Drosophila melanogaster: one gene and its partners. The protein of the gene in region 2 interacts with the protein of the main gene of each other region in a pairwise test. Each region holds a gene or a part of one and is shown on either strand. Other genes may lie near its edges.

Region 1 (3,759 bases), on a different chromosome or scaffold from region 2:
CATTGGACGAGGTGCCACTCTGGTAGGAGTGATTTCTTTTGAAACAGTGGCCGTCACGTTCTTCTTCCAAGACGGCAGTGTCACTACTTCTAGTATGTTAATATCCTTAAAGGGCGTTCGTTTCTGCAGCGTTCTCCGAGGATTCGGCAGGTGCACAAAGTTCTCCGCATTCTCTTCGCTTTCCTGGTCATTGATCGACATCGATTTGCTAATTGTGGGAGGGGGACGGTTCTCCTCATTCGAGTCGTTCGCATTTGAGTCATGATTTTGCTCGTGCAAAGGCGGACAAATGGATTCCTCGTGAGGGATGTTCTCAGCATGCTCTACCGGCGAATCTGGCACATAGACATGCCGACGTTGCACATGATCACTGGAGTACGATGGCATCTGGGAGTTGTTGAAACCAAACATGAAAGTATTGGGCAATGGTGAATCGTCGGAAACGCGCCAGGGGGATTTGCCTCCCGCGGTCCTAACTGCATTTGGAGACTGGTGGGCAATAGGCGACAATGCAGTGGTGGTGGCACTAACATCTGTCACCGGAGGAGCTCTGCGATTCAGCGGCGTGCTAACCAATTGTCGCGCCATGTTGATAAGTTCTCGACGTCTGTCTGTAGATGGCAGTGGATTTTGCGCCTGGGTCTGGTTAAGCATTACGGATCGGGCCAAATTACTGTAGGCTCCTTCGTGCGCTTGCTTAGAAGTGCTCGGCTCCACATGTACCTGGACGGGCACTTCGATGGGCTGCACGTATCCGTGCTCCGAATCGTTGCTATAATCTTCCTCGGGCTCGAAAATGGTCGATAAGGAGCGTGATGGCTTTTGAAGGCGCGGTTCTATGGACTTGGGAACGACCTTGACTGGCTCAGGCTCATTGTCTTTTGTCGAAACCTTTCTTCGATTACCCACAGGTCGGACCTTCTTTGCTGTTCTTTTGGCTCTCGGTTTGCCGATTTTTCTTGACCGCACCATTACGCAGGCCTTTCCATCCTTAACCAAACGCTGAATTATGTCTGCCGCCGGATCCTCCCTGTCACTGTCATCTTCGATCTGCGACTGCGACAGAAAATCGAAAACGTTGCGGGTCACCGATGATCGTGTCCTGGTTAAAGGCTGATCTCTGTGGAAGAAACGAGGTGGTTTTTTGGGCGAAATCTCAGCTGCCGGTCCACTAGGGCTTTTACTCCTTATGCGTTGCTGACATGGCGATGTTTCGGGACCTGCAAGTAGTTGTGCTTATCAAGAAAAGTCCATCATCCGCCTGGTGAGAGCCTCTTACCTGCCACATTTTCCTTGATATTTTGGGGTTGCGTTGATTTCTGTACCTTCGAAGGAATGTACATCGTCGAGTTGCGAGCCGGCTCAAAAGTGCTGGCATCCACATCAGGCGCATCATTTCGAGAAATTTCGGATACGACACCGTTTTTTACCTTAATGCGCCTTATTTTTACCACGCATTTTCTTATGCGACACTCTGGCTCGTTTAGGGCTGTCAAAGATTGTTTGTTTGATAGTTTCGTGGGACGCCCGGGTTTTCGTATTATCGTGGTCAAATCAGCTCCGAGTTTCTTGGGACGCCCGGGTTTACGTATTGTGGTCAAATCAGCTCCGATGGACAGCTTCTTGGGACGCCCGGGTTTGCTTATCGTTGTGCTTAAGTCAGCTCCGATGGACTGTTTCTTGGGACGCCCGGGATTGCGTCTCGTTGCGGTGTTCACATCTGGCGACGGAACACACGGCACCGGCCGTGTTCTTACCATTTTAAGAATATAATTTGTTTACCAAATGAAATTCATGTACAGCTCCCGCCATTTTATTTACTAGTATGACCATCCCCCGATCTCTAAGACTTGCCATGAAAACCACTGAACACCAGTAGGTGTGAAGCTTGACTAACCAGCTAACCGAGACACTTTTCAACACTGAGCGCCAGGGACGGAGCACCGATAGTTGTCGATAGGCGGACAGAGAACCAGATGATTGGCCTCGCAATAATGTAAAAAATAAATAATTAGCTGTTTCCAAATAATCCAAATTCCAAATTCCTTGCACTACGATCCACCGTGCGTGTGTTCGTCGCCGTGAATGTGTGCGGGCAGTTTCGTTTCACGCGCCCCAAGCAAGTACAGCTGAAAATTGAGAAGGAAAGCAAGAAAGAAAACCCCCCAAACTGAAAATCGAGTGAAAGTTTTCTCATCGTCTTTGTTTTGTAATTGTGATTTTCCTGCCTGCTGCCAGCGCTCATTACTGGCAATATTGGATCGACGTCGACATAGTGTCGCTGCTGCGGGCGCGGGTGGCCGACGGCGACTATAGCAACTACACCTTATAGCTACTATAATACTAATGCTATACTCGCGGTCCCTATTGTGATTGTGTTATATATTTAAATCGACTCGATTCGAATCGAATCCAATCGCTGTCGTGGTCGCAGTCGCATTCGCGTTTTCTGGGACTGCTGCAAAAGGCCTTGCGATTTTCTGCGCCAGGTACTGTGTAAAGACGTCGATGTGGGAAGGGGGGTGGAGGCGGTTGTGGGATGGTTGGGATGGCACGGGGCGAATCCCAATAAGAAACTAGCGCGAAAACTGGCATACCAGCGTACATACATACGTACGTACATCGCACGCGACACATGCCATACATACATAGGCGAATTATAATGGCAACAAATAAATGCAACCGACCCAGCAGTTGAACCACTACCACCTATACCACCACTACTACCAAAACCAGACCCTATCCAATTCATTCCAATCCAATCCCAGGCAACGAGAACCCGAAGGCTGACTGTGACGCCAGTGGGGGAAATGGAAATGGAGCCAAGGCAGATGTACATATCTGTGGATGTATCTGCGAATTATGTCTCAGGGTCAAGGACACTGCTTCTGCCTCGCTAACCGTTGTTTGACCTTATTAACGAGTCGGAAGTGGTGGATTCGCCGCTCACCGACTTTAGGGATACCCTTTCGGTTCGCTTATCCAAAGAATAGTAGCTTAGTAGATACATTCATTGGTAGATAGTTGTCCCCCAAAACGAGTCATGCATATAGTCTTTATACTTTGCAAAATAAGTCAAGGTAAATTGAAATGTCCTCCAAATTGTAGATTTCCCTGCGTACTTATAAATCCAATATTAGTTTTTAGATAATCTTTTTCTTTTGAATGCAACATCTCATTAACTTCCGACAAAAGTCAACATAGCTATACATTATTGATCAAACTCTTCGTATCTTCAACCAACTTCGACTAAAATGATTGTCTAAGCTTACAATTGTTCAGAAATTAAACTATTTTGAAGTAAAAAAGGCAGCCAGGTGGATTTGACTAGTAAAAGCATATTTTATGGGATCCCCTTACTTGGTGACACTCGTGTATCCCATATCAAATATTCAACGTATGATCCCTTTCTCCTTGGCAGATCAACTGCATTGGCCGGCTCCGCGCATAAACAATGTGCGATACCAAAGACGATGCGCAGAAATGGAAATGTGAAACTTGCACCTACGAGAACTACCCATCCTCGCTGAAATGCACCATGTGCCAGGCGTCCAAGCCGCTGCTCAACGAGGACATCTTCCGGTATGACAACTCTGACGATCTATACCTAATCTTCTGCTAATTAATACTTGCTAATTCTTGCAGTCTGAGTCCAGCCCAGGAGAGCTGCACCGTTGCGGAGGAGGCGGCTGCCGTCGAAGTAGCCGTAATGTCGCCCACACCTTCGTCCACGTGCTACTCGCTCCAGCCGCAGAGCCA
Region 2 (2,769 bases):
GGGTTTTTGTTGCCCAGTCACGCGATGATCTCCGCTTGATGGCTTAGAAACCGACCATCAGGCAGAGCCAAGATCTATAAAAAAATTCCCAAGAAATACGTATAAGTATGTATGCATGAGCCAAACCCCTGCGGATTCCTTGGATCGCACTCTAATGATTTCCTGCTTAGGATACTGGGGCTCACCCATAAACCCAAATATGCTGCCGCTTCCCAAGAGCTGTCCCCCTGCCGTCCAATGATTAATGCGCCGATCCTTGTCCGATGCCGATGAGGCGAGAATGGGAATTATGTATTTGGGTTAATGTTACACCGCAGAGCAGCACGGCTGGCATTGCTTTAATTTTGTTTTAACACAAAAATTGCCAAGTACCAGTATTTATTTGATGTGCGCAATGCTGCGATCGGAGCTGTGACTTCGCCTTGGACGGCAATTTCCTTCCGTCGTGGTGGAGCCGCGCATCTTGATCGCCGGGTTCTCAGGCTGTGGCCAGAAAACTGGAATCCCAGAGAACCGATACCATTGCCGACGACGATGCCAGTGCTGCTGGCCATTTCAAAATCTAACTGTTAACTGCAAAAGTTGAACGTACTAGCAGCATGCAACATTCAACGGCTGCACCCACGGCATCAGCAGCATTAACGGCAGTACACTTGAAAAAATATGTTTTGAGAAGGAAAATTATTTCCTATGAAAAACTAATAATATATATGTTCTTAAATATAAAAGCTTTTGGAAAATGTAGAAAAAGTTTATGTTGTTTCTAAATACTTTTGGAATTAATTATTTTTCTGGAATACATACACACCGAGCCAAATATTCTTACACAAAAATCGATTAAATTGAAGAACTCATACATCACTTTCCTCAGTGTATGCAACTGCATCTGAGCGGGCAGCGAAACGAGTTGAAAGCCGTTTTCCCTGTTTGCCAGCCAGCTCTTGAAAGTGGTTTGTTGTCTAACTGCGTTAGTTGCTGCTTTAAATTGTGCGCCCAAGCAGCTCCAGCGGCGTTTAATGGCTCCAACTGGCGACCGGAGACCTCGGCTTTAACTGGCCACCCCGCCACCGACTTCTGTTTCTGTTTCTGATTCCGAATCGGATTCTTTTTGTTGCTGCAGCGGGTTCTCAGGCGGCGTTGGCTAAATGTCATAGCGGCGGATGCACCGAGCAGATTAATCATTAATCACATGCCCATCTGAGAGTACGAGACTTCCAATATGCGGAAATTACTGGCAGCTAGCTGTAGTATCCATATGCCCCATTCCCACCATCCCCATCACCTGGTGGCCGATCATTTCCGCCGACGAGTTGGGTTCCTTTATTTTGCCTTTATTTTGACACTGGGCCAGCAACGGCAATTACTGGCGGCGGTGCCACCGAAAACCCTCCTCCCTTCCGCCCTGATTTATGAGTTTTTAATGAGCGGCCACTTTACACGAATTCAAGTTAACAAGTGGAGCCGCGTAAGAGGCCAATATCGCAAGTAGTATCGCCGGCAATCGCGCCTTGACATTCGAGTCGTGCGAAATGTCAGATGAAGATGCACCAATGATACGCTCAATGGGCGTTGGAATGCACAATACCCTAACTAAATCTGAAAGAATATGTCCAGTCAAGGGGAGTGTACAATTTTATTTCCATTTTCTCTAACGCTTTTCAAATTAATCATTTAGGGCTGCCACATCGAAAGGGTTGCCAAAGCATGTCGATACCTACAGTTATCGAAACTGAAAAATAATATCTCGGTGTGTAAACACTTGACAAAACGTGACAATTGGCTACGCGCGTCGAAAAAAGAAAAATAGATTACATTGAAATAAATCCCACGATATCTAAAACCAAACGGAAGATGCCCAGCTCCACTTTGACGTCCTCTACTGCTCTTCCGGTGAAGCAACGAAATGGATTTGATCTTGGACTCGAACCGTTGCGGATCTTAGGAGCCTGCAACTGGTCCGGTAAGCTGACCTTTTTGATGCAGTGGAAGGGTTGCGACGAAGCCGGCCTGGTGCCCGCCGAAGTGCTCAACGTTCGGTGCCCCCAAATGGTCATCTCGTTCTACGAGGAGCGTATTGTGTTCACGGATGAGGGCGATGAAGAAGACTTGGAGTCGGACAATGGGTATGAGACCACTCCGAGTCCCAGGAAGAAACGATCACGAAATGCCTAGTCCATAAAACTATTGTGCACCGAAGACATTGCGGTGCAATGTCAATAAAGAGTATTGACTCTTCTGCCACGAGTTTTTCTTCATTTTCTGGTCGCCGTTGTCGCTGGTGATTGATTATGCATTTTCATGCGAACTGGTTGCTGATGCTGCACTTTGTTGGCATGCGGGCAGGTGAATAAGTGAGTTTAGCTCGGCCCAGCCACGCCCTCCGCCTCCTAGACGCAGCTTGATGTTGGAGACAGGCCGGCGGCATTATCTGCCGGGCGCGAAATTATACGTGTATGTATACACCGAGCGAAAAGTCTGTAGGGGTATTTGAAAGTTCATAAAAAAAACAGTTCATAAATGGTGCACTTGCCTCATTAAACTTTTTCCAGTGCACTTAATGCTGTCAGTGACCTTCACATCGGGGCGTTGGAAAACCTGCAATTAGAAAAGAAGGTTAAGCCGCAGGATCAGACTCAGCTCTCAGATTCCATGTTGCAGGCGCCTCAAGATTCACGCAGTCAACTAATACGTACATAAAAAAAAGGGTTAAATTGGTGGCGCACCTTTCTTGCAGCGACATTTTGACATTGAAAAAGTATAATTAATTGA
Region 3 (3,759 bases), on a different chromosome or scaffold from region 2:
CGCCAAGGCCTCCCGCAGCAACTCATACTCAACCCTGGAAGTTGAAAAGTTATATTTTCATTGTAAATATAAATAAATTTACCTCATGTATTCGTCGACCAAGCCCCTCACTTCCTGATGAATCTTTGCCAGTTGCTCCTCAGTAACCCATTCCTTGATGGGATCATGATTCTTGTTTAGATATTCATCGACATTTCTCCAGTCCTTGGAGTACTTCTTCATTGTTTCTTCAATGTTTTCTAAAATTGAAGAGAGTATTTGGAGACAATGGAAACATTCTCCATTAAGTCAAACTATCTACCAATTGCCTTGCTTGCAGTTAGCTCGTAGCCAATATCGATGACTCCAGCGTCTCTCAATTTCTTCCGACGTTTAGCTTCCTTCATTTTCAGTTGTTTTAGCTTTTCCTTCTTTTTCCTTTTCTCTTTCTTCTCCTTATCGCGAAGTTTCTTCAACTCGGCTTTTGACAGCGGCTTTTTACCAAGGCTTTCCTGAAATTCCATTGGCGTCATTGTTTCATCAATGACAACCAGTACCGTTCCTTGTTTTACAGGATCGGGATAAGGATGAAAATTCCCAGTCGCGTCGTAGCTGTTAAGTACGAGTTATACGTTTTTGCCTTTTTTGCCTCAATGAAAAACAACTCACAATTCCTTGAACCATGCCCGGATATGATCGGATATATCTTCCATCATCCATGGACTTCGGAATTGCAGCAATCGGGTGCGCTCATCGTTGATCAAGTTGATGAAGTCCTCATCCAGCTTCTTCTTGAGCATCTCGTTCTTGTACATTTCCATAATAGAATTTGCCGTCTGATTGGGTCGCTTCAGTTTCCTAATTTTCTTCATACCATACAATTCCTCCTTGAACCGCTTCCTAATCTTAACTATTTTCCGCGTCTTGTAACCACGCCAACAACTTTGGATTTTACAAGCAGCATTGTTCTGTATTGCACTTAAGGCTTCCTCATCTAGAAAATAATTAAAAACCAAATTAATTGTTTTGAAACGATCTAGCTACTTGCCATCTATTGCGGTATCCGCTACATCATCCTTTTTGATAAGATTTTCGCAGGACTCGTCCGCCTTCAAGAAGTCAGCTGAAAAAATGGTTCTCTTCACGGGAATACTCATTGCCTGATCAGGCTTAAAGGTGAATTTGTAATTTATTTTCTTTCTTTGATGGACCTTGAGGAACTTTTTCTTGTCGTACTTTATGTTGGACTTGTAAACCCGAGCTCGGCGCGCCCTCTCGTGAGCTTGGATAAGCTTGACCGCCTCACTGATCGGAACCCAATCCTGGGCTGCCTTTTCTTCCTTTTCCTCATCGTTCATGTACAATCGGTTGTCGGCAATGATATTTTGAATGTCCAACGGGCGACGGTAAAGGAATTGTGGTGACCTCCATACGACCAGGTCCCGTGGTGTTAGCTTCCTAGCGATCAGCGCCTTATCTATGTAAATGTATTCGCTCATTTCCAAGTCTTTTAACTCCTCCTTGAGTTGCATTAGCTGCTGAGTGGCATTCTCCACCAAAACACGTACCAATGCCCGCTTTTGCACTTGGAAAGTATTGTGGTATATGAAACTTAACTTATTGACCAGCTCCACATACAAAACATAGAGCTCTGCGTAAATTTTATACGATACTGCCTTTTCCTCTGGCGGCTCAATCTTCTTCAGGCGGTTCTGCTTCTTGATTAATTTACCAATTTCCTTGCGCGTGTAGACCCAAAATTTATGGTTAAGATCGAACGACATTTTGGATTTTAGCTATATGTGTGTGTGTGTGCCTTCCTAAATAAAAAAAATGTCTTGCCGTGTTAAGAATATAGTATGTATTTATTTGCTTCTGTACACTTAATGAAAATAAGTCGATTACCTGGTTATTCAAGGGCTACTTAGTACCAATATAGATTTTGATTTTATATAAATTTATCACTTTATTTCACTTAAGATACGATAATCAGGGAATCCGGAAGGGAACAACCACGGCCTCTTTGTGGTCGATCTGTATGTGCGAGACACTGATGTGTGCCTTCTCGGTGAAGAGCTTCATCTAAAAACATACGAAATTGGTAAGCAACAAGCAATTTGCGAAAAGTAAAACTCACTTGAGCAGTGTCATCTGGATAGGTTGGCTTAGACAGATAGAACTGATGGCTTGGTACATCTTTAAGGAGACCTGTTGTTCATTTAATTGTTAGTCATCATTCACCCTTTCAATCTAGCTATATTGCAAACCTTTTGGTGCGATACTGGCGTGCTGGCCGTTGTTCCACTGTTGATGCAACCGCTGCGAGTACAATCTTATTCTATCGGCGTACTCCTGGTGCTCCAGGCTGTGACAGTCCATGGCTCCAACGTTTATCATGTTTCTGGAGAGCAAAGTAGCGTATAAGCGAATACAAATATAATATAGATAAGCGATAATTAGGGCTGTGTTGCTTTGTTGCATTGAACATCCCGATAAATGCTTGGGTATAACCATACTACATACTAGATCCTGCCATCGCTATAACTACGTAGGTATACTACTATAGTATAGTATAGTATAGCAATCGCTGTAAAATGCTAGCATTCCAATCAATGGAATTGTATATGATAGTGCCAAATGTGGACCCTATACACTATCAACTACGTACATCGCAGTATTCTGCACCAGTCTGGAGAGGGCGTTCTGATCGTCCTTCTTGGGAAGGGAGTGGGCGTAGTCGGTGCTGAGGCCATCGGAGTTGCTCCGTCGAAGGGCAGGACTATGGTTCACCGGGTCCACGAGAAGGTGTGTCCGCTCGTTCGGCTCGTTGGGCTGCAGATGGAACGCATTGTGTATTCGGTCTGTTGACGGGGAAAGGGGAATGTGCGGATTACCTGCGCACCTGGATCTTCGGTGCATTGCCAGCAGTTGCAGATCGAGGCTAGGTAGCTCCAAACAGAGTGCACATACTCCATTCTAAATGCAATTGTTCAATTGTTCTTTATTTTTTATGCAAGTTTTTCTAGGGATGGAATTGTACATATTCGATAAGATCAGTGCTACCAGACAGTTTAAAACAGCTGTATACATACTTGTTATCGATTAGGCGCTAAATATTACAATTTTAATCGGACATTAAATTCATGGGTTTTCATAAGGGAATACTAGTTTATTACTTACTGTTCCTAGCGTTATCCTTGTTTTATTTATTATGAAATACTTTTTATTGGGAATTAAGTTGATTTAAATTTATACTTTATTAATTTGTTATATTTTTATTGGAAATCGGCAATAATTGTGAAGATATTAAAAAATTTAACTGCTTTTGGTAGACATCAATTATTAATTTGAAATATTTATATTGCTGTTTTTTCTATCAACCTATATGACATTTTCCCCAACAGCCAGCCCACGAGAACGAGCACATTCTTGATTGATGAAGATGCCAAAATTTCAGCCAACGGAAGTTGCTTATCTCGTCGCTTCCTTCGTGCCAATCAAATGAATTGGGCCGCACATTTTTAATTGTGTCGCTCGAGCAGTAAGGACAAAGGATGCGGAGTACGCCAGCTACTCGCAAGGAACGGAGAACGCCCTTAAATCAACGACGCGGTTAACCATGATGGCGAAAGCGGCGAGGCGGAAACGCAAATTCATTGCCGAGGCTGCATGACATGGGGGCATGTGTGGCAGTGCTGACAGCTTTTGCTATCCTTTCCACAAGAAGAACCTCTGAAAAATGTAAAACCATAATAACATAATGTGTAATATTGGGGTTTC

Evidence for each region.
Region 1: the proteins of HP6 (region 2) and dmt interact in a two-hybrid assay, tested with the Drosophila melanogaster proteins (one large-scale study listed by BioGRID).
Region 3: the proteins of HP6 (region 2) and CG14183 interact in a two-hybrid assay, tested with the Drosophila melanogaster proteins (one large-scale study listed by BioGRID).

The regions. Positions count from the first base shown.
Region 1 is NT_033777.3:9,709,211-9,712,969, reverse strand, and holds the start of dmt (dalmatian), read right to left. Parts: upstream 1,829-3,759; 5' UTR 1,761-1,828; coding exon 1,280-1,760; intron 1,221-1,279; coding exon 1-1,220. Other genes in the region: trbd (trabid), read left to right, coding at 3,455-3,582, 3,646-3,759. UniProt on the Drosophila melanogaster protein: Regulator of sister chromatid cohesion in mitosis. Probably involved in development of the central nervous system.
Region 2 is NT_033779.5:4,577,186-4,579,954, reverse strand, and holds HP6 (heterochromatin protein 6), read left to right. Parts: upstream 1-1,736; 5' UTR 1,737-1,851; coding exon 1,852-2,172; 3' UTR 2,173-2,236; downstream 2,237-2,769.
Region 3 is NT_037436.4:20,025,999-20,029,757, forward strand, and holds the start of CG14183 (uncharacterized protein), read right to left. Parts: upstream 1,838-3,759; 5' UTR 1,764-1,837; coding exon 1,028-1,763; intron 974-1,027; coding exon 649-973; intron 592-648; coding exon 302-591; intron 240-301; coding exon 83-239; intron 35-82; coding exon 1-34. Other genes in the region: Lamtor1 (late endosomal/lysosomal adaptor, MAPK and MTOR activator 1), read right to left, coding at 1,969-2,061, 2,117-2,187, 2,247-2,380, 2,648-2,811, 2,874-2,954.